3 linked regions of the Struthio camelus genome follow. The protein of the gene in region 3 binds, or shares a complex with, the protein of the main gene of each other region. Links are inferred from orthologs where the notes say so. Each region holds a gene or a part of one and is shown on either strand. Other genes may lie near its edges.

Region 1 (7,865 bases), on a different chromosome or scaffold from region 3:
ACAGCACATGATCAAAACCACACCCCTGACCCAAACTAAAACACTAACATAGATGTACTACATATGTTCTGACTGAGGCCTATGATATCAAACCATCAGCAGCTGTTGTACTTACCTCATAGTTCCTGGCATTAGTATTAGCTGCCTTCTCTAGCTCAATGCGAGCTCTTTTGTGGCTAAGCTCCATCTGCATCTTCTCTCGTTCCACCTGCAGGAGCTGAGATTTGGAATGGATCTGCCCAGCTTGTTCTTCCAACTGGCCAGTTCATATGTGAAGAGGGATATTACACATCATTAATAGCACTGCAACCCATACTATCCAGCTGACACTTGCATAGTATTTTACAAAATTACAAGGGAACTATCACCTCACTTACGTCTTCCCAAACAAGCTGCGGATTGGGAAGCTAAGGCTAAGAGTTCGACAACATGCTCAGAAACCCACGTCAAATTAATGTTAGTTACAAACAAGTGAATTTTAAATTCCTCACTAAGAATTTCTCATCCAAATTCTAGAGGCCCTCTATCTGACAAAACACACTTCTCTACCTAAAAGAGGGTTAATTCCAAATCCCCCAAGCTTTATAAAAGTAACAGCAACTAACCAAGAAGCAGAGCTCATTTTTCCCATGAAATGTAATTGTTGAGCAAAATAGCATGTTTTTCTACAACCTGTTACAATATATTTTTTATCTATATGACTGAATGCTTCGTACAAAATTATTTTAAAGCACTTATAATATTAATAGAACACCTCACTTCTAAGCAATATACGATCACCATATATCTAGCGAAGGCTCTGTAACCAGAGAAGTACTACAGACAGAAAACACACAAATTTTTGTCAGCAACCTCAATGCAAAGGAGATTTACATTAAAAAAAAAAAAAATAAACAACCACCACCTTATTGTATACTTAGGAATTTAAATAGAACTTATATCAAGATATAGACTGCAGAAATGTTTCTGAGTCTAATATAGAGTCCCTAATATAGAGTCCAAGATGTCATCCTACTAGATGTCTTATGAACACAAAGCAAAACAAAATCAGAAAGGCAGCTTACAGGAAAAAGTCACAACAATCAATGGATTTGAATAGAAGAGGATAAGGTAGCAAAACTCGTTGGCATATCGAAGCCATGGCACTAGTGCAAGTCTCCTATATGCATCAAGGCAAAGAAATTTTAAAGAGGGTGGTGAAAAATGGTAAACAAGATAACTTACTGGAAATACACCTGTTAAGCAGCAGACTGAAAGCAACTTACAATTTAATTTTCTGAGCTGGTATACTGATATAATCAGTGAGGAAGAAATTCAAAGGACTTTCCTTAAATTTTCACAAGACAGAAATACACATAAGGCTAACACTTAAAAAAAACTTAAAGAATGTTCACCCAAAGCAAACTTCTCCATTACTGAGCATGCATAAATAGCAATTTTAGAAAGAACGGTCAGGTCTTAATGCAAACGATCTTGAATCACACAGAATCAAAAGGAGTCTACATTCATAGTGAGGTGATGCTGCAGGTATCAGCAAGAGGAGGATACCTCACCTGCACCCTCTGCTGGTACTGCATTTGCAAAGAGCTTTGCGATGATCCTGGCGTAGCCAGCCCAGACACCCCCTCCACACGCTGTGCAATGAAGTTGTTGAGAGACCTCAGGGTGGAGAAGACAGTAGTATTGTTTTCCAAGTCCTCCATGGCTCTGCAAATACACAGAAAGTTATCAGCAAAACATTCAGAGCAACCTAGTGTCTACTGGCTGCTCTTCTAACAAGAGACACACTGCCCTGGGTAACACTGAAGGCAAGATCTTCCTATTTACAGCATACAAAACCCAAACTGTTAGTGACTGCTGAGATTCACAGATTACTGCTGGGATCAGTGTGAACCAGAAAACACTATCCAACTGAGGCTGAAGATGAGAGACTGATGCAAGAGAACCTCTCTCCCCTTAGTTCTCCACCTGAAATTGTACATTTTGTATTTAAATACATTTTCCCCTGAGTCTCAGCCCATAAATATACAAACAAGAGGTGTCATAAGTTACGCAAGACTGAATTCTCCCTTGCTATATGATCAGAATAAAGCTGGGGTACAAGTTAACATTGTGCCAGGGGAGGTCCACAGCACGTAACACCAACAAACCGAACCCTTGCTACTCTTCCTCGACACACTGTAAGGCCGGGGGTAGGAAAAGACCTAAACCCATAGAGCAAACTCTACCTTGTACACAGCTACGAACCTGATCCTGGTTTCCAAAAGTCACTCTGGAACCTAACTTTCAATGACGAGACTTCCCAGGTTCTAAGGTCACTTTCAAAAGTGAAATTTTGGGCTCTCGTTCACGCACAGACTTGAAATTCTCCCCTCAAAGCGTTGTTAGAAGGCCAAAGATAAGTCAAGCGTGGAGCTCAAAGAAGCCTGTAAGCTGCTCTCAGGAGACCTCAGGAGCCTGCAGGGATTTACACCTCACGCAGTCCCAGAACCAGGAACCCCAAAACACAACATCTGCACAGGACACAGCGCTGGGACAACCTCCAGGCTCGTGCGTGAGCAGCACAGCGCAGCACTTAACAATTTACAGCACCACGAAAAGGGGGGTGGGGGGGTGGGGGGAAGGAGAAGCACACTAACAACAGACCAGCTGGAAAAACCAAACGACAACGTTTATTCGAAGTAAGGGCTTCAGTACCAGACACCAGTAAATCCAAAAGAGACCAGTGCCAACAGGTAACCGGGCTCCAGCGAGCCCGTTCGGGAAACAAACGGATCCGGAGAAAACAAGGGGACTGGGAAGACCAACTCGCCCTTCACCACAGGCTCCGGCCGGCCGGCAGGCCGCGCCGCGCTGCCCGGCCCCGGCGTCGGCCCGGCGGGGAGCCCCGGGGGCTGCCGGGGGGGACGGGGACAGGGACGGGGACGGAGACACGGGGACGGCGCGAGGGGCGGCGGGGCGGGAGCCGCGGGCCGGGCCGGGCCGGACTCACCCGCCACAGCCGGCGGCGCGCGCCGCCGCTTGGATCTCCCTCCTCGCCCCGCCGCCGAGATCTCACGGGAACTCGCGCCCAGCTCCCGCGAGAAGAGCGCCCGCGGCCGCCGTAATGCTGCGAGTGCGTGCGCGCAGCAGCGCCGCCTACCGTAATGTCCGGCCGGCGCGCCCCAGCACGGCTCCGCTGCCCCATAACATGCGGCGCTCGCTCTGCCCCCGGCTGCCCAAAACGCTGCCCCGTCCCCTCTGCCCTTAGGCCAGGACCTGCCTCTCGCCAAGCCCACGCACGTGCCGGTGCTGCGGAGTGAAAAAAGCAAAATCCTGGGAAAGATAAAGGGGAGCGTTAGCTCTGATCAGCTGCTGCTGCCCTTAGCAAACCCTCCAGAAAACTGAGCTGCTCCGGCTGTTTCTTAGATTCTCATCGCTCACTTTTAAAGTATCAGTAAAATAGAGATCTATGGGGATTAAAAGAAAACTGCGAAAGCTCATCCCATGGGGCTATTGTGATCATAAGTTTAAGTATCAACCTCATTTTACAGGGAAAAGAAAAGGCAGGTAACAGCAAAAAGCCAGCAGTCCCGGGGGCCCGCTTTGAGGCATGCGGCCTCTGTTTTCATCCTTTCCCCAGAGTCCGCGCTATGTAGGTTAGATGCTCCAGGCACTAAACATCAGCAAGACACAGGCTTTGCCCGTGGGTTTCGCAGAGGGAGACAATCAGTCTAGCAGCAGGGCTCCGTTCCCAGTTCAGAGGGGAAATACCGTCACGGAGAAGGGGTTGTAGCTGGCCCTCCCACGATGGACTCCCGCCCGCATCTTCCAAGCTCGGCCTCCCTGCGGCTGTCCGTTTGCAACGCCAGCTCCGCCAGACTTCTGCGTTCCTCACGTTGTCCTTGTTACCTCCAGGCTCCCCCCAAACTCTAGGCCTTGTCCCGTTTGCTCTTTCTTTCCCTCCTTACAGCCTCTCTAGCATCCAGCCTCATTTCCAGCACCACTTTGGCCGCCCTTCTCCTCCCTCTTCTCACCCTGTCCCACGGACAGGCTTTCAACACTCCTGTTCAGTCAGAATTCATCCTCCCCTCCCGCAACCGCAGTCAGAGCAACAAAAGTAAACAGCACATGGTTAATAGAAACATCCTGCTCAGTTGTAGTTGCTACCAAATCACAGGGTAACAAAGTTTTCAAATAGCAGACTGCCATAATTGTTCCCCCCAAACATACGCAAATCAACATCCAGCTTCCTAGTTTAGGCTGTTTGGCTAACACTTCCAGGCATACTGTTGAAGTAGAGAGATCCAGAATTGAAAGTTTCAGACAAACTAGTTAAAATTTGATATATTTTAAGCCATTGAAAATGAGGTGTCTATAATGAGAAATATCTGGAAGCCTTAAAAACAGGCAGTGCTACCAGCCCCTCCTGTAACTCATGCCTCACAGAGTTTGATAAAAGACCTATTTAATGTAAAAGCTGTCACTTCCAGATAAGATAGTAGCTATGTTTATTTTTGCAAATAGAACTCTACAATTCAACCAGTAATTTTACCTATCTGGGATCCAAGGAACATCTCGCCATTTTACCTAACAAACATCACTAGTGAAACATGAAGCATTACTGAAGATATAGGGAAAAATTATTTTCTCAACTGTGATGAGCCTCTGTCGTTTACTGGATTTATGAGTACAATGAAGTAACAATTTCTAAATATAACACGTGTCTTTAGCTAATGCAGCAAAGCCACCAAGCTTTGCAATATCCCAGAGCCGGAGTCATACGTTCTGAACGTCTGCATTATAGATTGTATGTGACAACGCAGACTCTGACATGCACAAGAGTGTTATCTATTTTTAAGCGTGCTAAGAAATTGTACCAGCTTTTAAGAAAGACAGAGAAGAAATAAATTGGCTCACACTCCCCTTGTTGTCCCCTCTCATTTTGGAAACTGCCTTTACGGTTAGTCTCCAATATGACAGCAGTAGTAGTGCAATGATTTTCAAGCACACGCATTAAAAAAAAAAAAAAAACCTGTAATCACTGTTTTATTTTTATTTCCATTACTCCAGCCCCAGAGGTTGCCTTTCAGATTATTCCTCTTCATTCCCAACAGTTTTCTCCACAGGTGAGAAGCTAAATTGGATGTCTCTGCTCGTATAATTAGTGGATAAACTCAGCAGGGCACCATCCTGGTTTTACTTTTGTACTTGAAAAGCATGATGTACTTCCTAAGAATTGCAGTATATTCTCCCAGGTTGTTCTCAACAATGTGACAGTTGATGTTGGAGGTCTTCATGCCTGCCTTTTTTTTTTTTTTTTTAAATACCTGCCAAGTAAAGATTTCCAATCAGTGTCTGATCACCAGTTCGATAATCTGCAATTCTCAGCTTTCATTTCCCTTTGTACAGTCTTGCCAAGTAATAAGATTCAGCAGAGTCCTTCCGGCTAGCCTGAGGCTTTACAGTTCTCACGTCTTGAAACTGCTCCTTCAGTCTGCCTTGAAGAAGGCGGGAGTCCTGTCCATCCCAGAATTTACAGAGCAGAGTTCCTTTTGGCTTTAAAAGGCTTTGCGACAGATTCAGAAGGCCTAAACATAAGCTGATCAACTTTTGATGGTCCAGTTCTTTGATGCCTGTTGCATTAGGTGCCATATCACTCAAGATAACATCCACCTTCTCTGCAGGAAGCAGACTGTGAATTGTCCTAAGCGTGCTTGGGTCTGTAATATCAGTCTCTGACAGGAAGACTGCTCCGTCCAGTGGGGAAATACGCAGAAGGTCAATTCCAAGGACAAAACCAGTAGGGACAGTAGGATCTAGAAAACAAAGAGTTGTCGTCAGAATGAATGACACACTGATCGCTCTTATGATATAAGGGCTACAAGCAACTTGCATATACCTGAGCTCCATGATATTCAATACACAAAAACGTATCAGCAGCCAAACACGGTCTCCCTGTCCTTCCATAAAGAGTTTGCTGCACATATCTGGATAGACGGTTTGCTATAGGCTACTCCATACAAAACATTAAAAGGCAGTTATTCCAGATACGCAAGAGGTATTTTTGTTGGTTTTTTTCTGTCGATTTTTTCGAGGCTGGCAGTCCAAAAATTCTGGACAATAATACAGACGATAATACTTTATCTTATAAATATTAGTGGCCTAAATCACATAAGCTGTATGTAGTGGTTACTGCCGTTATTCAAGAAAGGAAACAAAAATTTAGTAAGTTACCCGCTGGAGGCCACATGAATTTCAGAGGCAGATGAAGAGGGGATCTCACCCAGCCTTTTCATTAGCCTTTTATATAGTAACTTCCTCCAACTCAGCTAAGCAGAAGACTTAGCTAGTCTTATAGCAGCACCTCATCCCAGGGTTTAATTTCATAGATATGATTTCTCCAGACCATATGAAGAATTACGCTTCTTTACTATCACCCTGGGGCCAGGAATCTTGAGTTCTTTGCTACTTGAAATTTCTATCAGTGGCTGTGGCGACAGTCTGTACCCACGTACCTTCCCCGCTCCGCCATCAGCACAGTTGAGCTTTCCCACACACTTCAAAACGAGCGTTACCTCCATCTCAGGTGCCAGCGCGTGTGCACTTACCAGTACCCAAGGCATTGACCCTCTCTACAGCAACCTGACTCCAAGCGCCAGGCGCCGCTCCACAGTCAAGCACAGAAAGTCCTGGACGGAGGATGTGAAGCTTGTCATCTATCTCCAGTAATTTGAAGGCACTTCGGCAGCGGTAATTCTGCTGCTTCGTTGCCTTGACAAAGGGGTCCTTCAAATGCCGCTCCAGCCACTGGTGATCTGCTCCAGTCTTTCTCTTCAGGAGCGCCACCGCAGCGTGGAAGCATCGGCACCGCAGGGATAGGCTCACCAAACTCCGGCCGCTACCCGGGAAGAGAGGCGAGTTAACCGACTAGCACATCACCACAGTGTATTTCAGAGCTCTCCGCAGGAACTATTTCTAACCCCGATTACGTCTGCTCCCGTTTATAACCACGCTCTCCAGCAGCCTCCAGTTCAGGCACTGGAATCCTGGCCATTCGCAGCATCTTTAGTTATCGGTTCCAGTTACAACAAAAAAAGCCTCGTTCTGGATCAAGGCCTCATACGCCATTCCCTGAACAAAGCAGGTAGGGGGAAGGACGATCCCCTTCCTAACAGCTCCCTGTTTCCACCCCGGCTTTCGCGTTTAAGCCTTATAGCAACGTTCACCCAATGTGCAGCAGCCCTTATGAACCACCAACACCGAAGGCAGAGCTGAGGAGAAGAGCAGCGGCCCGGCCAGGTTAAGGCGCCCCGACCAAGGCGCCCCTGAGGGACGGCGGATTCCCCAGCGCGCACAGGCGCCCCCGTCCCTGCCGGCCCGGGAGGGCGCCCCTGCTCTAAGGTGAAGGGTGAGGATGAGTCAAGAAGGGACAACAAGACCCCCGAGGCTGCTCCCTCCCTGAGCGGCAGCCCGCCGGGCCCCGAGGCCCCGCTCCGCCCCTCGGCAGCAGCCCGGCCGCCGCCCCGGCTCGCCCCAGCGCGCCGCTCTCCTCAGCCGCGGCCGCCACGCACCTGCCGGCGGCGCCGGGCCCGCGCCACGCCATGATGGCGGCCAGGCTCGGCGGGGCGGAGCTGGGGGCGGCGCGGGGGGCGGCACCGACCCGGCGGCGGCGGCGGCGGCGGCGGCGCGGGAAGAGGCGCCGCTGCCGCCCGCCGCGCCTGGGCCGTGCGCGGCCTCTTCGCCGTGTGGGGGGAGGTCAGGCGCTGGGGGGCACCGGGCAAGGATTTGGGGAAAGGGTGCCGGGGGCACCGGGCATGGGGGGGGGAATGAGGCTTTGGGGGGGGGTTGTGGGCACCGGGCATGGGGGGGGAATGAGGCTTTGG
Region 2 (7,141 bases), on a different chromosome or scaffold from region 3:
GAAGTAAAGGGTTTTGATCTCCTGAGCACATCAAACACTCCACCTGTTCAAGTCACATTTCAGTCAAGAGACCTGTGATCACATGCTGAAGTGGGCAGCTGCACCTAAGGCAGCTTTCTTCATTCTAGCAATTTCTTCCTGGAGCTAGCTTTAGCAGTCACCACATCTTTGTTAACCAACGGATAGTAAGGCAGAGACAGCACTCCTGGCATTCTCCAAGCTCAAAAACGTCAACTTAACTACCTTGCTTCCCGTTCTACAATCTTACTCCATTCCAAAAGGTCAGACAATTTTTTTTTTTAAAGGAATAAGTGCAGAGCCTCCTTTCAACAGATCTTCTAGTACCTCACTAGTGCGAGTAAGAAACTACAAGCAACCTCACTACCAGTAGCCTACAATTTCAAACAGGAGAGAGATATTTGGAGCTACTAAACTCATTGCATTATAGGTACGTACCCAGCTGATGCAAGACGACTCCAGTGGATATCTAGTTTGACACAGCGTACTCTAAGGGTTTCTCTCTGTGTCCCATTCTGCACTAGACACCAGACCTGGTACAGAAGAAAGGGCTCAAGTTCTACTTCCAGGTAATACAGAGCATTCCAATTTGGAACAGGAAGTTCACAGTTAAAGACAGTGTTGAAGTTGATCATATCCCCATCATCTCTTCTCCACATTTCAGCAAGCTTTAGAGTCTCAGCAAGCTTTAGAGTCTAAGACTCTAACATTTCTAAGAGGTAAAAGTAAGCAAGAACTGAGCCTTTTTTTTTTTTTTAAAGGAGAAAAAAACAGCATAATGGGGCAGGAGTCCTAACTTCCTCTGAAGAGTGTTAGAACAAAAATTACTTACTCTTGATTTTAACAAACTGATTGTCAGGGCTGTTGGAGTCAAGGTTCATAAAGAGACACCAAAATGTGCTTTTCTGCCTCCACAGGACTGCTTAACCTTTTTTCACAAGTACAGCACAGTGCTAGGTAAGAAACCTCCCAATTGCTAAGGTGTCCTACTCTTTGGATGATTAACTAGCTGACATTGAATTATGGGAAGTCTAATTTTATCAAATAGATGATCAAACACTTAAGTATTCAAATTTGATCACACTAAAGGGAAAGATCTCTTTTCCCAGCAGTGGGATAGGTAAGAATTGCTATAGCCTTTACTATAAAGGCTACTAAGCCCTGGAAAGGCCAACTGCATTAATAATCACGTGCATTATTTAGAGTCTGAGACAATTTGGTAAAGTAATAATTATTGCTAGAGGAACTGCTGCATTAAAACTCAGGAGAGAGAAGATCATATCCAGTATTTGCCAGTTCAGTAAGCATGCTGCAAGAAAGTTTTACTCCCAGCACAGTAGTTCCATCTGCTGTGCCACAGCCCAGGTTCCTAAAGAATGCCTGTATCGATATGTAACTGTACCTTAAAAGGTATTTGTTTTCAATAACAACATGGGGAAGAATTTTACAGCTGTTTCATAGAAAGATGAACACAGTCCAGCTACAGGAAGATAGCAGATGCCCTGGAGAAAAGATCCAGAGAGACAAGAATATGCAATTACATTTGATAAAATAGTCATCACCTAAAGCAGCACCAAAGGTTATTCAATAATCCATTGAAGTTCTATAAAGCACGAGTCATTCATGAAATCCCTTGAGTGTCACCGGTGCTTGAAACCATATGTAATCCTCCCAGGCCGATGTCATACCCTGAGGAGATGAGGCACTTATACTGACGTCTCCATCAGAGGACAAGTTGACAGTTAGTTTCCTTCCTCGAGTCGGCACTTTGTAGTTGAGCTTGGGCCGGAACCAATCAACACCACAGTCGCGGTGTCCTTGGAGCATAACGACAGTGCCCACGATGGGGAGAACCTTAAGTTCACTGAAGACATCCGCTATGAAGAGCGAGTGAAAAAGTTTACGCACGCAGAATGGGGTTTTCAGGCTCTCCTCAGCGCTGCCCACACAGATACCCTCTAAGTTGAGCTCATAAAGCTCCTTGGGGCTCACAGCATTGCCACCAAGCAGAATAAGAACACGGGGAACCAGCGTCAAACTGAACATCACTTCCAAGTGCTGGAGCACCCCCTCCAGCTCCATCAGCACCTGCTGGCATTTCTTGCTTGCCATGTCCATGGAGGGCGGCTTCTTAATCACGTCTCCATCCTGTCAGGGGGAGGAGGGGGAATTAGAATACTTGAGAAAAATAGGGAAGAGGTCTTAATACACTCTTGTGAGGTGCAGCACATCCCTTCCCTAACACTCAAGGGAGGTTGGACAGATTTTTTTTTTTTCTTTTAAGAGGTACAGGGCAGCTCATATGGAATCAGGAGGTCCGAGAGGAATGCAAAAGGCCACTCGGTAGCTGCTCAGCTTGAACCTGCATCAGGCTACTAATGAATCCTCACAACAATTAGGGACCCCAACTTTCAAAGGTGGGGAAACCACCCTGAAGCCACTTGAGAGCAAGGCAGCGTGCGGTGGGCTTGGCCGAGCCACAAACGCAAAACAGCGAGCCACGCACTTTGAGCGGAAACTGGGACGCAAGGGATTAACAGCAGCGTCTTGACACTTTTAGCTGTCGGCCTTATTTTAAAACAAGGCTGCGGCATGGCTAAGGCTTGAGCTAACGCGGGCGTCTCGTTTCAGGAGAAAGTGACGCCGTTGCCAAGCCGCGGCGCCAGCAGAGCGCCGCGTCGCGCCGGCCCCGCGCCTGGCCCCGGCCCCGGCCCCGCCGCCCACCTGCGCCGCCCGCCGGCAGAAGTAGACGAGCTGCTCGTAGGGCAGCGGCAGCTGGTGCCGCTGGTGCAGGACGTGCTTGAGGAGCTCGCAGGCGAAGCGGCAACAGCTCTCACGGCTCACGGCGCCCGGGAACACCACCGACACCGAGGGGCACCCCGCCGCTGCCGCCGCCGCCGCCCCGCTCCGCCGGGACCTCACCCCGCCGCGCTCCGGGGCGGCCGGCGGCGCCTCGGCTGTGAGGAGCGGGGACAAGGCAGAGGTCGCCCGCCGGGGAGGGGTGGGGGCGGCGGCCGCAACAGCCACCGCTGGGGCGCAGGGCCGCTCCGCGCCGCCCGGCGCCGCCATTTTCTGAGCGGCGGCGGGCGGTGGCCAGCGCGGATTTGAATGGCCGCCGCCGCGGGGCACCATGGGAGCGCTCTCGCGCGCGGCTTCCGGGGCGGTGCCGCCGCCATGTTCGGTGGGGGCGGAGCGGGGCCCGGGCCTACGTGGGGGCGCTGCCCTCGCTCCGGGTGCGGCAGCCGTGCGGGTGCTTGGTGAGGCCGGAGCCCCCGGCCCCGCTGCGCTGAGGCGCCGCCGGCCCAGCCGCGGGCGCCGTGAGCCCTCCCGTAGGCAGGGCGGGCGGTTTCTCCCTCAGTGCCGTTGGTCCCCGAGCGCCCGTCAGGCGCCCCCCGGGGCCAAGCCGAAGGCCCTGCCGGCCCCCCAGCCCGCTCAGGCCTCTGACCGGGGTGGGGGGGAGCCGCGCTGGCTCTGCCCGGGCTGGGCTGCTCCCGGGGCGCTGTTTTGCGGCGCGTTGCCGCGCCGGGCGAAGCTGTTTGCCAGGCGGAGGCGGGGGAGCCGGGCCAGGTGGCGTGCGGCCAGGGCCTGTCGTGTTTGGAAACAACGTGGCCGCAGCCCCATTGGGCGCAGCCTCCAAAACACGGCCCGGGGAGGGCGGTCGCGCCGGTGGGTGATGGGATGAGCAATTCCCCAGTGCTCCCGTAGGGTGAGGAGCGCTGTGTGCGCACAGCACGGCGACCTTGGCTACCTCTTAAAAGCACCAAAGGCTTTAAAAGCTGTTGATGGTAGCACATGTTAATCGAGCATCTCTGTCCCCAGGGGATGGAGCTGAGAAAAATGAGGCTTACTGGCAGTAGCAGTAGTAGCATCAGAGAGACAAATGAGTGGCAAAACATGCAGTGCATTACTGGCAGAGAAGGTGACAACACGTGGCAGGAGGTTCTCATCCTCAGCCTGTTGCTTTTACCCTTCTCAGCAGAGCTTATGGTATCTTCTCTATAGTTCCGTGCTGTGATACCATTTCTGTATAGCTATTAAGTATTTCTGATGCAAACCTTATTCGTAAAAACCTTTTGGCTCCCTGTCCCTGTTGCCAGCCGGAATCGGTGCCAATAGCTGTCACTGAAGTGGAGGGTATCAGGGCTCGAAGCGTGCAGCAGGCTGCGCCCCGGCAACATAAGCTGCGAATTGCAGAGTCCCCAAGGGAGGGTGGCAGGTGCTGGAGGAGCACCCCCTCCCTCAGCCTTGCACCCTCGGAGACCCTCGGTGGTTCCCTGGCCCAGGCCCGCTCCCCAAAGCACGGCCGAGGAGAGGGGCGGGGGAGCACCCGGGGTTGGGGGGCGCGACCTGTCGGCGATGCCCGCGGTGGCCGCCAGGCGGCGCCCTCCCGCCTCCCCCGGACTCCAACTCCCGTCCGCCCCCGCCCGAGGGAGCCCGTATAGGAGCGGGAGCGGGGCGGCGCGGGGCGTGCTGGGAGTCGTAGTTCTGAGCGGTGGGGGGCGGCGCGGGGCGTGCCGGGAAGTGTAGTCCGGCGGCGGGGACTCAGTTTCCCGTGGCGCCGCGCGGCGGTTTCTGACGCCGGGGCCGGGGTCGGGGCCGGGGCGGCGAGCCGAGCCGAGCCGAGCCCGGGCGGGGAGCGGGCGCCGCACCGGGCCGGGCCGGGCCGGGCCGCGCCGCGCCGCGCCGCGCCGCCATGGACTCGCGGGTGTCGGAGCTGTTCGGGGGCTGCTGCCGGCCGGCGGGCGGCGGTGCGGGCGGGGCGCTGCGCGGGCGCGGGGGGGCCGCGCCCGGCGGCGGCGGCTCCTCCAAGGCGAAGAAGAAGAGCGGGCGGAGCCGGGGGGCCAAGGCCAACAACCCGCCGTACCTGCCGCCCGAGGTGAGCTCCGCGGCGGGGCCGGGCCGGGGCCGGGCTGCGGGGCGTCCCGGTGGGGTGGGGGGCGGCGGGGCTCGGCGCCTGGCAGGCGGTTTGGCAGGCGGTTGAGCCCGGCCCCGCCGGCACCGTTTCCCCCGCCGCGGGTTTGACGTGGCAGCGCTCGTGGTGCCGGGCAGCCCCCGGCGCGCTCGGCCAAACCGCGTCCGTCGGCGACGGCTCGCTGCCTGGCGTGCCCCTGGCAGTGCTTTGCCGTCGGGGAGCTGAACGGCTCGGGGAGTAAAACCTTGCTCGCCTCGCAGTCCCAAGCCTGCTGTTGGCACCGCTGCTGGGCAGTCGGTCTGGTGGGTGCCGGCGTCTTGCCGGCTGCCGAGCTACTAGACACCGCTCGGCAGCTTCTGGTGACACCCTTCGCGGCTCGCTCCGCCGCTGTGCCCTCGCGCCCGGGTGCGGAGGGCGCTGACAACGTGAGAGGCAGTCTTCTCGCTCACCTCTTACCGCCGGAAAATACGGTATCGGCAATAAGTAGCGTGTTGGTTAGTTCAGACAGTTGGCGGGGAACCGATAGGACCGCCGCTGTGGCGAGCCCTGCGCTGCCCCGGAGTTGATTGCTCAGCCCCGGTCAACAGGAGTCCTGTAAAAGAGGTAGGAGCCTGCTGAGGGGGAGCAATTCCCCGTGGCAGCAGGGAGTACGGGGCCTAGCTGCTGTTAGATGACTGCTCCACGGACAGGACTGTCCCCTGCCGCTGCAGTTGGGTTTTGTTCCTTTCAGCTGGAGGCTGGACGGTCCCTGTGGCTTCAGCACAGCTTCCTGTCCTCTGCTGCCTTGTTCGCTGTGTGGTCCAGCAAGTCTAGACTTGTTGCTTTTCTGGTCTCGGCTGCCTTGAAACCGACCCACCACCCCCTTATCACATACAGCGTTGCATGTGCGTGCAGTGTTTCTCTTAGAGCTGGAAGGATGGTGGATGGTAACAGGAAAACCTTTTGCAAGTACTGCTCTCTCACTGAGTAGTTTCACTGCCAAGAGCAGAGCTGATAATTCAGAGCCTCCCTCTGTTGGCCTTTTGCCACCATAAGCTCTGCTGTGGTTAGGAGCTGAACTAGAAGGCAAGGAGAGGCTCTTGCCTCTCTTGACGTGCAAATCAGTGTCTAGAGAAAAGGGAAGTGCTCAGTGCTGGCAGCCCGGTTTAGTCTGTCAGAGTACTTGGTGTCCTGCAGGCTCCAGCCCTTTCTCAGTGGTCCTTGGACTGAAGCAGTGGGAAAGTTACTTCAGTAGTGGCCATACGTTTTCTCTGAGAGTTGGTGCCTGTTGTGGTTGGAGTGCGCTCGATGAGTTAATGAGTCTTTCTGTTTCGGGCTGTGACAATCCAATCTGACTGCAGCCCTTCCGAGGATGTTGTCCACAGACGCTCCTGATCGTATCTGCTTCTCCAGAACTGTCAGGCCAGTGACTACTTTGCTGTACTACAAACAAGTCAGTAGTTTGCTTCCGTATGTCTGAAGGTCCTTCTCTCTGCAAGGTAGATGTGCATGGATATAGGAAAGAGTCGATGAAAAAATAATTGGATGAAGGGCATAGCGGTGTGTGGGAGAGGAGACAGCGACTTTTACCCCCAGCCAGCTGTTTTCATGCACGTTGGGCGGACAGAAGGTGCTGGATAGTGTGTGGTGGCAGTGTGGGATGTGAATTGAGTGGGGTGCGTGGAGACTTCTGATCATCTGCCAGCCTGTGCTGTTTTTTTGAAACTGAAAGTCTCTCTGACTTTCAGACTGGCCTCATCCTTTGCTGTCAGTAAAAGAAATGACTCTAATTTAGCCTCTGTTTTTCGTACTGTGTGATGCAAACAGCAGAAACGAACCCAAAGTAAGTTCCAGTACAATGTAGGAATGAATGGCAGGAGAGGCTGTGACTAACACTGTATGTTTCTGCAGTTTTCCCTCTCTCTGAAAATGGTAGCAGGAGCTTCACAGTGCCTGGGTGGCTGGTGCCTATTGTCCCTGTTGGCACAGGGTCTGACCTTTCTATCTTGTTTCATTCTCTGACTAGGCAGAAGATGGGAACATCGAGTACAAGGTGAGCCTTCTGAGCCTTGCAGAGGGAGGTCTTCCTCCCAGAGGATTATTTTGCAGTGAGTAACTTCAGCAAAGACAGCATATGGGGGACACGTTCAAGAAAGGGACAGAAAAATAGGCACTGGACTAAGGAGTTATCTGTCTACTTCTGGGTCTCTGTATGTAGCAATGCTCAGTATG
Region 3 (7,005 bases):
ACTTTGAAATAAAGAACACTTGAAAACTGGCACAACTTTATTCTGTAAAGACACAAATACGAACATAGATATTTGACAGACACTGAAGAAATAGGTACACACCAATCTGGAACAAGATCCTCAAAAACTACATAGTCGAGAAGAGTCATTAATATACATGACTTTGCACATTTGATTTTTCTGATAAACAGCTGCTTTCAATGGTTAGGAGGTACAAGTAACTTTTATACATAGAATTTTTCTGTTGATTAGTTTTAGGATTGTTTATAGTAACAACAACCTAGACTTTTACCATGAAAAGCTGGTATGCTAAGAGCAGGGTTTTTAAATACCAAAAGAGAGACTTGAAGAGTGCTAATGGAACTCTATATTTTAATCTTAAGATCCTGTAACTTAAGCTCTTAAGACCGTTCCAGCAACTGATCCTGCCTTTAGGCAGCGTCTCTAGCTGATTCAGCATAGCCTAACACACCATTGACTGTTAAGCATAAGTAGTTTCTAACGATAGTTAAATCCTGTATATACCTCCTGAAAAGGATGACGGTTTAGACTAGTGTGACATCACAGTATCTGTAATCATAGAAGAATGCTTTGTCTTCTTTCTGTATTACACTTAGTCTCAGCCACAGTAACAGGATTCTGTTGATTACTTAGTTTGTTCACAGTGCAGCTCCACAAGACAGGATACCGATGACAAAAAGTACATCTTAAGGAAATGAATCCTTCTTGTAAGCTACCATACTATTCACTTTGTGGATTGTGGTAGTGAAGGAGCGAAGACGAACCTCTTCTGAATTGGCTATGAACTGTGGCCCTGACTCTTCCCACTTTTCTGGCACTGCCAAGTCTTTATCTGTGTAAATCAGCAAGTCAAAGGCACCTATAAGCAGAGGGGAAAAGTTAATAGTAAAACATGCGTAAAACTCAGCTTGTTTGAAGATTAAGTGCCTCTTCTAGAAGATGAGACTTTAGTAGAAGTTTAAGGTATTACGGTGATGCTAGTTATGTGAAGGAAGCATGTTTAAAAATGGAAAGTCCTGGCTACAATCAGATTAGTAGACAGTTTTCTATTTAAACAAAGGTTTGAATTTAACATCTCTTCAAAAAAAAATACTGGGTTAAAGCAGCTGAGTTCTTCATAGTAGTTGCTTCAGATAGATTCTGTGCTTTGTGTTCATAAAAGTCTATTCACAGCTGTTGTCATACAGAATTATATAGAGTACCAAGTATACTTGCTGGTTTCATTAAGCCAGTTAAACCACCTTGAGTTCTGTCGTTTTGACAAAAGAAGTTTTATAAGTGTTTCAGGGCAGAACGTACCACTAGTCCCTTCAAATGAAGTTGCTTTAAGTTCTTCAATGAGAACAGCATTTACCTTAATGATTTTTACTGTTTGTTGTAGAATAAGCAGTACGGAATAATTCTTTAAGATGAAATACTTGATTTGACATACCTTTTCAGTTTTATGCACAGTTGCAGGAGATGTGATCTGTTTAACAAACTTCAATCTCATGTCAGATATGGTACAGTGTGTGACATTTCATGTCATAATAAAAAAAACTAAGAAGGTAAACAAAAAGGTTTTCTAAAATAGAAAAGTTGTGCAGGTTTTTTCTGCAAGAAGTGCTTGATTTCTGTAGTGAAGTCAGGAATACTCACAGGCAGTTTCCAACAAAGGCAGGAAAGTTACTGTAGCAGTTATTTGTCTGATAACAGATCGAATTTCATCCTGAATAGCTTTCTGAGATTTTTCTCGGGGTACACTAGAAGAAGAAAAAAAGCTTTGTTAGGGAAGGAGTCTTCTGCCACACTAGCAGCTTTCATTAAATACAGTGTTATATTATGCTGCCATTGGTTTGTTTGCTATATGGCTAGCTTTGCGTAGCAAGGACATTCATTTCCGTCTTAGGTAAACAGGCTTAGAAAATTCTGTGAAGCTTCACAGTACTTGTAAGGAAAGCCAGATGCTGTTATCTTCAGTGTGGAGTGAATGAGAAAGTATTTTGGCAGAACAATAGGAAAGCAAAACTAGCTCTCTAAGGGCATGCAATTTTATGTTTTGTTGAAGATTAAAAAAAAAATCACATTTTTTATCTGATACTGTTTTTACAGCACACAAGGATTATGTATGCTGCAGTACTACAACAACTGCTTTAGAGAGGAACAAAAGGAATAGCAGCAGGCTAGGTAATAGGTTTGAAGAGAAATCTTCCCTACTCATATTGGGAAGGGCAATCTTGGTTGCACTGTGTTTCCAGAGCAGGCGCAGAGGAACACGGGTACTCACCTCTCATCCTTTGCAGCTTTATCACACTCTATGTCAAACTGCCACCTCTCAAGAACCTCGTTGTTTTCGATACTTGAGATTACCACCACCAGCCGTTGCACAATGCACTTGTACAACCACTCTGAAAGAAGCCACAGCAGTTACTCACAGCATGAGCAAGAGGATAGGCAGAAATCCAGCAAGGAGGCCTGAGCAGCCTTTTGCCCCGGCACCCCCCGCCCTCCACCAGCACCTTTCATCTGCTCCACCACGTTGTTGAGGTAGTTCTTCAGCTCGGGGTCGGTGGTGACCAGGAGGGTGAGCCCGTACTTCTGGACGCGGGTGAAGGTCTCGGGCGGGTAGATGCCCCGCTGGTAGAGGATGCTGTTGATCCCGTAGGCTGCAACACACGGCGGGAGGTCGGGGCAGGGTGAGGCAGGGGGTGGGGGGGGAAGAGGGGGAACGGGGCCAGGCCGCCCCGACCGCCATGGCGGCCCGAAGGCCGGCGGGGAGCAGCCCCCTGCGCCCCCCCGCACGCCCGCGCCCCCCCCGCAGCCGCTTACAGAAGAACTCGGCGACGATCTCGGCGCTGCCCCGCAGGGTGATGCCCTGCTGCTCCCGGCCGAGCTGCTTGGCCATCGCGGCCCCGGGCCCAACCGCCTCCTCCCCGCCGCCCGGTTTGAAATCAAGCCCCGCCCTTGCCCCAACGCCTCTTCCTCTGTCGTCAGCCCGCTCTGGCGCACGCGCGCTAGCCAGGCCGCGCCGGCCCCGCCCCTCCGCGCACGTGCGCCGGCCGTTGGGCTGCCGTTGGCGCTAGTGGGCGTGCGCGCGGCGGGGCGGGGCGGGCAGCCGTTAGGGGGTGGGCGGCTCGCGCCGCGTTCGGGGCCGGTTGTGAGGTGGTTGGGCGGCTGCATCTGCCTTCGCCTCTGGGAGCGGGGGTACGTGCGCCGCCTGCCTGGCCAGAGCGCGTCTCTTGGTGGGGAAGCGGGGTTGCTTTTCCGTGACCAGCCGAATGAAAACGGTGATTGGGCGCAGGTGGGGCAGCTACCTGGGGGGGAGGGGGGGAAAAAAAAAAGTTAAATGTGCCTTTGCCACGGGTGTGTGGGCTGAGGGAGGCACAGCCTGCGGGCGGAGCGTGGCTTTTCACAGAAGCGTGCTTGGAAGTTCAGTGTCAAGAATTCAGGTGCGTTTGCCTGTATGAAGGCACTTTTGAACACAGAAACGATATTCTGTTCTGCGATTCTCGCCGGTAAACCAAGCTGTAGCGTGAATGAAGTGAAGCAGGTATCTAATTGCTTCTGGACGATTTTTATGCAAGCGTTGTCAGAAGACAGGCAGGAAGAACCTAAGTAAGGGGAACAAAAAAAGGCGATTTCTCTGTAAGTCCATAGGATAATGGGAAACGCACAAAGTAAGCACTTAAAAATAAGCACTTAGAAAGATAGGGGACCCACAAAGTCATCTCTCTGGACATACAACCCCCCCCCCCCCCATCAGACTATCTCGTAGGGAAATTGCCAGTTAGTCAAAGCACTTAAATCCTGTTATTACAGGGACAGCAAGGAAGAAAACCCTGCAGCTAGTCGTGATTATCGCAGGGAGGAAACACTGCCACAGGTTAACAGGTAAGAGAGACGAAGTGAAACAGCAAGTACATCTTAAGTGTTGGGATATTTAAATAGTATCTCGAAGAGAAGAAGCCATAGTTTACTGGGATAATAGCTAGGTGGCCAGTAATGAGCCAACTGATACATCAACAGCCAAGGAAGCACTAAGTGAAAGGTGAATGCATATGTTAGGCACAGAAGAGCTGCAAATAAAATGCTTCCCTGAATTTTATTTTTCTGAAATGTCTGAAAAGAATACATGTCATTATGTACAACATACCTATTTTAGATGCCCTTGTTAGCCTTGAAAGAATCTAATCAGAGCAGCCTTAAAATAAAATGACAAAAGTAAAGGTAAAATATTTTAAACACAGAATAAAAACTGTATGATCATTACACAGTGCAGTGGCCAACTGCTAAAAGAGTGACTTGATAATGAGATTGCTTATTTTGCTGTAGTAAAATGCTTCTCAAAAAAACTAAATCAGCAAAGAATTTTTGTTGGAACTAAATTTTGCACTACGAAGTACCATTTGCTTCAAGGTTCATGCTGCTGAGATTAAAGCAAATAGTATGGTCTGGAAACCATGTGTTGAACTTCTGAAAGTGTCTAAATAATCTTGTAGTTATCCTAGAGAACTTTATAATGGGTCATGATCACTGATGATTGTGTTATGCATTAGTTTTCTGAAAAAAATGTTTTCTGATTGAGTGTGGTATACTTCAAATTCTATGTTATGAAAGCACTGTTAATCTTGAAACTGGATTGCTGTGAATATCAGCTATTTTCTTTTAAACCTTTAAGTGCTATCATGCTTTTCTTCCTCTGTCCCAAAATGGTATCAGGACTGTTGTTTTCCCACGTGGCTTTTCATCTGTTTTGTTTTCTCTGAGGGTTTTGGAGGGCTGCTCATTTTTTTGAAAAAAAGGGCTTGAAAGTGCTGTTGCATGAGGCCAGGCAAGTGTATTAGAGCTTATGATCATGATTTACACATTTATCCTTCAGCTGGTTTAAAACAGTTAAAATGGAAGAAAAAGAAAAAAACAAATGCCTCTGGAAGCAAAATTCAGCTAAGTATAGCTCTAGTAGATTCCTAAGAGTCTTCCGGAGCAATAATGAATTCATTTACCACAGATTCATTTCACTGTATTTCAGCTGGATGGTTTGAAGATCTGTTGTTGATACGACTGTCCTGATATGTTTGTCAACAGCAGACTTAAATTGCATCTTACGTATTTCTCTCAACATTCGTTTGGGAGGTAATGAGAGACAGGAGTGATCCCTGATACCTCTGTTAAAGTTCTAAGCTGCATTCGGTGAACCTGGCACGTGATATTTCACAGTGTTTTGCAACGCTTCTTTATTCCTGATTCTCTATTTCTCTATTGCAGTTTACAGTGGCTTGCATCTCGTGATGTGCTCCCCTACCCCCAAAAGCCCCTTTGCTTTGTGCAGTTCGCATTTCTCTGTCTCTTTAGAGGAATGCATTCCCCTTTTACAGTACTTGTCACTGTTTTGCTTTAAATTTCTCCTATATACGGAAATGTAATCTAATGATAAAAACTATGTGTGTTTAATACTGCTGAATTTCTTTTGTAATGCAAAGATCCTAACATTTCTCTTTGTTTTTTAGCAGGTATTATTTTTCAGTGGCCAATTCATTAGTTCTGAAAAGTGCAATCTTTTTAGTCCATGAAGTAGCATCTTTCTTTTTCTTACTCCTTGTGTTTCTTTTGTTAGAATGTTCTTCTTCACATTTTTTTTCTTTCTCGTGTCATCCAGATGTTCCTGTCCTTTCCCCCCCTCACCCCAATAATTCACTTGCATGAAGGTTTAGTTATTTGACAGTGTGTGTTTGTTGTTTTTCCTTCAAGTTCTCCCATTATCTCATCTTTGTTTCCCCATTACAAGTCCCAAGCTTCACAACACCTGACTTCATTTTCTTCACTTTGTTTAGGTCACTGTCACTCAGCTTTTCTGCCAGGTCAAGCCAATATCCCCTAATAGAGGCACTCCAGGAGCTTGCACTCATCTGTCATGTAATTAGATCTGCAGCCATCACTTGACCATAGCCCGATGGCCCCATCAGAGCACTGTTGTATGATGGGGACCCATGTACATAAAGTCCTTTTGTCATGTTACTGAATGGGCATGCTCCGTGCAATGATTATGCCTATAGGATGTGTTTAGGGCATGTCCAGCTACATGACGAATGGCAGGCTATGGGGCTCTAAAGGAGAGCAGCAGGGAGACTGCTGTGGGTTAGTGAATGATTTGTGTGGCTGACAGCCTGCTTCCTGACCAGCTCTGAGGGACTCTCAGGAATGAAGATGACAAGCTGAGTTATATGTTTTGGCACATCATGAGTTGGCTATCCTTGCTTTAATTATCTCACGCTGAAATCTTAATTTTCATAAGGAATGTGAAGTCCCAGTTGTATTGAATTTAGTTCTCTTATGATTCTTCAGTCATTACTCTCCTTCTCAATTACAGCTTCATGTTCTGACAGATTTTTTTTGTTTTTAATTCATGTTGTGGAAGGAAACGTCCCCTGTTTAGCTTGGCTTTTTTGTAACACTTAACAATTGCTTTCCCATGGCAATTGTCAATGAATCTGTTACCGTCCAAATCACTGGTACTGCTTCACTTTTTTCAAGGTAACTGAGGTCATGCTCCCATAGTCGTTTGGTGATAAAGCTTTGAGTTGTTGAGATGTGTGTTTCTTTCTTTTTTTTTTTTTTTTTAAACCTCAGGATAACAGTGACAGGCCCCTCCTTTCAGTGTAGTAAAACAGACTGTAAAATGAAAGTTTTCTTTGCTACGAAAGTCATCTTATCACATTAACGAGGTGCCATGTTAAGCCTCAGTAAATTCAGTTTTTCCTGAGCAGAGAAAGGAGGTTTTACCCTGGCTAAGAGAGCCCTAGTGCTTATCCTTTTCTAGTAGATCTCAATCTCTTTAGAGCCATTTCTTCCTGCACTTGAAGGAGGAGATCCTTTACTTAGGAGCCCATAGAAATAGCTCACCCTTTTGCCTTCTTCCCTCCTATTTTTTCTGTGTCCCTTTGATTCTCCTTAGGGTTTTAGAGTGCTGCCCATTGCTGTAGTTGGCAGCTCTCAAAATTCATGGCA

Evidence for each region. The genes of interacting proteins can lie anywhere in the genome.
Region 1: the proteins of MAD2L1 (region 3) and MAD1L1 are in contact, whole or in part, in a crystal structure (PDB 1GO4), measured with the Homo sapiens proteins. The link is inferred for Struthio camelus from reciprocal best matches to the Homo sapiens genes MAD2L1 and MAD1L1. Residues at the interface, in NP_002349.1 of Homo sapiens: Tyr38, Leu61, Tyr64, Asn67, Val68, Trp75, Gln82, Lys83, Ser89, Ile91, Glu92, Ser93, Gly94, Arg99, Gln101, Ser150, Phe151, Asp152, Leu153, Leu154, Ile155, Tyr156, Thr157, Asp158, Lys159, Asp160, Leu161, Val163, Lys166, Trp167; in NP_001013858.1 of Homo sapiens: Glu527, Arg528, Ala530, Leu531, Gln532, Gly533, Asp534, Tyr535, Gln537, Ser538, Arg539, Thr540, Lys541, Val542, Leu543, His544, Met545, Ser546, Leu547, Asn548, Pro549, Thr550, Ala553, Arg554, Leu557.
Region 2: the proteins of MAD2L1 (region 3) and MAD2L1BP are in contact, whole or in part, in a crystal structure (PDB 2QYF), measured with the Homo sapiens proteins. The link is inferred for Struthio camelus from reciprocal best matches to the Homo sapiens genes MAD2L1 and MAD2L1BP. Residues at the interface, in NP_002349.1 of Homo sapiens: Tyr33, Arg45, Thr52, Leu54, Lys122, Asp126, Glu127, Arg129, Ser130, Arg133, Gln134, Thr136, Ala137, Thr138, Thr140, Phe141, Leu142, Leu144, Glu179, Val181, Arg182, Leu183, Arg184, Tyr199, Asp205; in NP_055443.1 of Homo sapiens: Pro61, His79, Tyr82, Gln83, Gln85, Pro88, Leu89, Pro90, Gln93, His96, Ala185, Leu187, Arg188, Phe191, Arg192, Phe195, Asp198, Ala199, Phe200, Ser201, Glu202, Leu203, Gln204, Ala205.

Annotation. Positions count from the first base shown.
Region 1 is NC_090956.1:6,271,138-6,279,002, reverse strand, and holds the start of MAD1L1 (mitotic spindle assembly checkpoint protein MAD1), read right to left. Parts: upstream 3,091-7,865; 5' UTR 2,993-3,090; intron 2,826-2,992; exon of another isoform or gene 2,698-2,825; intron 1,708-2,697; 5' UTR 1,704-1,707; coding exon 1,554-1,703; intron 257-1,553; coding exon 116-256; intron 1-115. Other genes in the region: MRM2 (rRNA methyltransferase 2, mitochondrial), read right to left, coding at 5,374-5,798, 6,591-6,880, 7,554-7,585. UniProt on the Homo sapiens protein: Component of the spindle-assembly checkpoint that prevents the onset of anaphase until all chromosomes are properly aligned at the metaphase plate.
Region 2 is NC_090944.1:103,726,024-103,733,164, reverse strand, and holds the start of MAD2L1BP (MAD2L1-binding protein), read right to left. Parts: upstream 3,091-7,141; 5' UTR 3,088-3,090; coding exon 2,743-3,087; exon of another isoform or gene 2,734-2,742; intron 2,167-2,733; coding exon 1,636-2,166; 3' UTR 1-1,635. Other genes in the region: GTPBP2 (GTP-binding protein 2), read left to right, coding at 4,712-4,894, 6,936-6,962. UniProt on the Homo sapiens protein: May function to silence the spindle checkpoint and allow mitosis to proceed through anaphase by binding MAD2L1 after it has become dissociated from the MAD2L1-CDC20 complex.
Region 3 is NC_090945.1:20,326,905-20,333,909, reverse strand, and holds MAD2L1 (mitotic spindle assembly checkpoint protein MAD2A), read right to left. Parts: upstream 3,031-7,005; 5' UTR 2,906-3,030; coding exon 2,830-2,905; intron 2,667-2,829; coding exon 2,520-2,666; intron 2,409-2,519; coding exon 2,288-2,408; intron 1,764-2,287; coding exon 1,660-1,763; intron 881-1,659; coding exon 708-880; 3' UTR 25-707; downstream 1-24. UniProt on the Homo sapiens protein: Component of the spindle-assembly checkpoint that prevents the onset of anaphase until all chromosomes are properly aligned at the metaphase plate.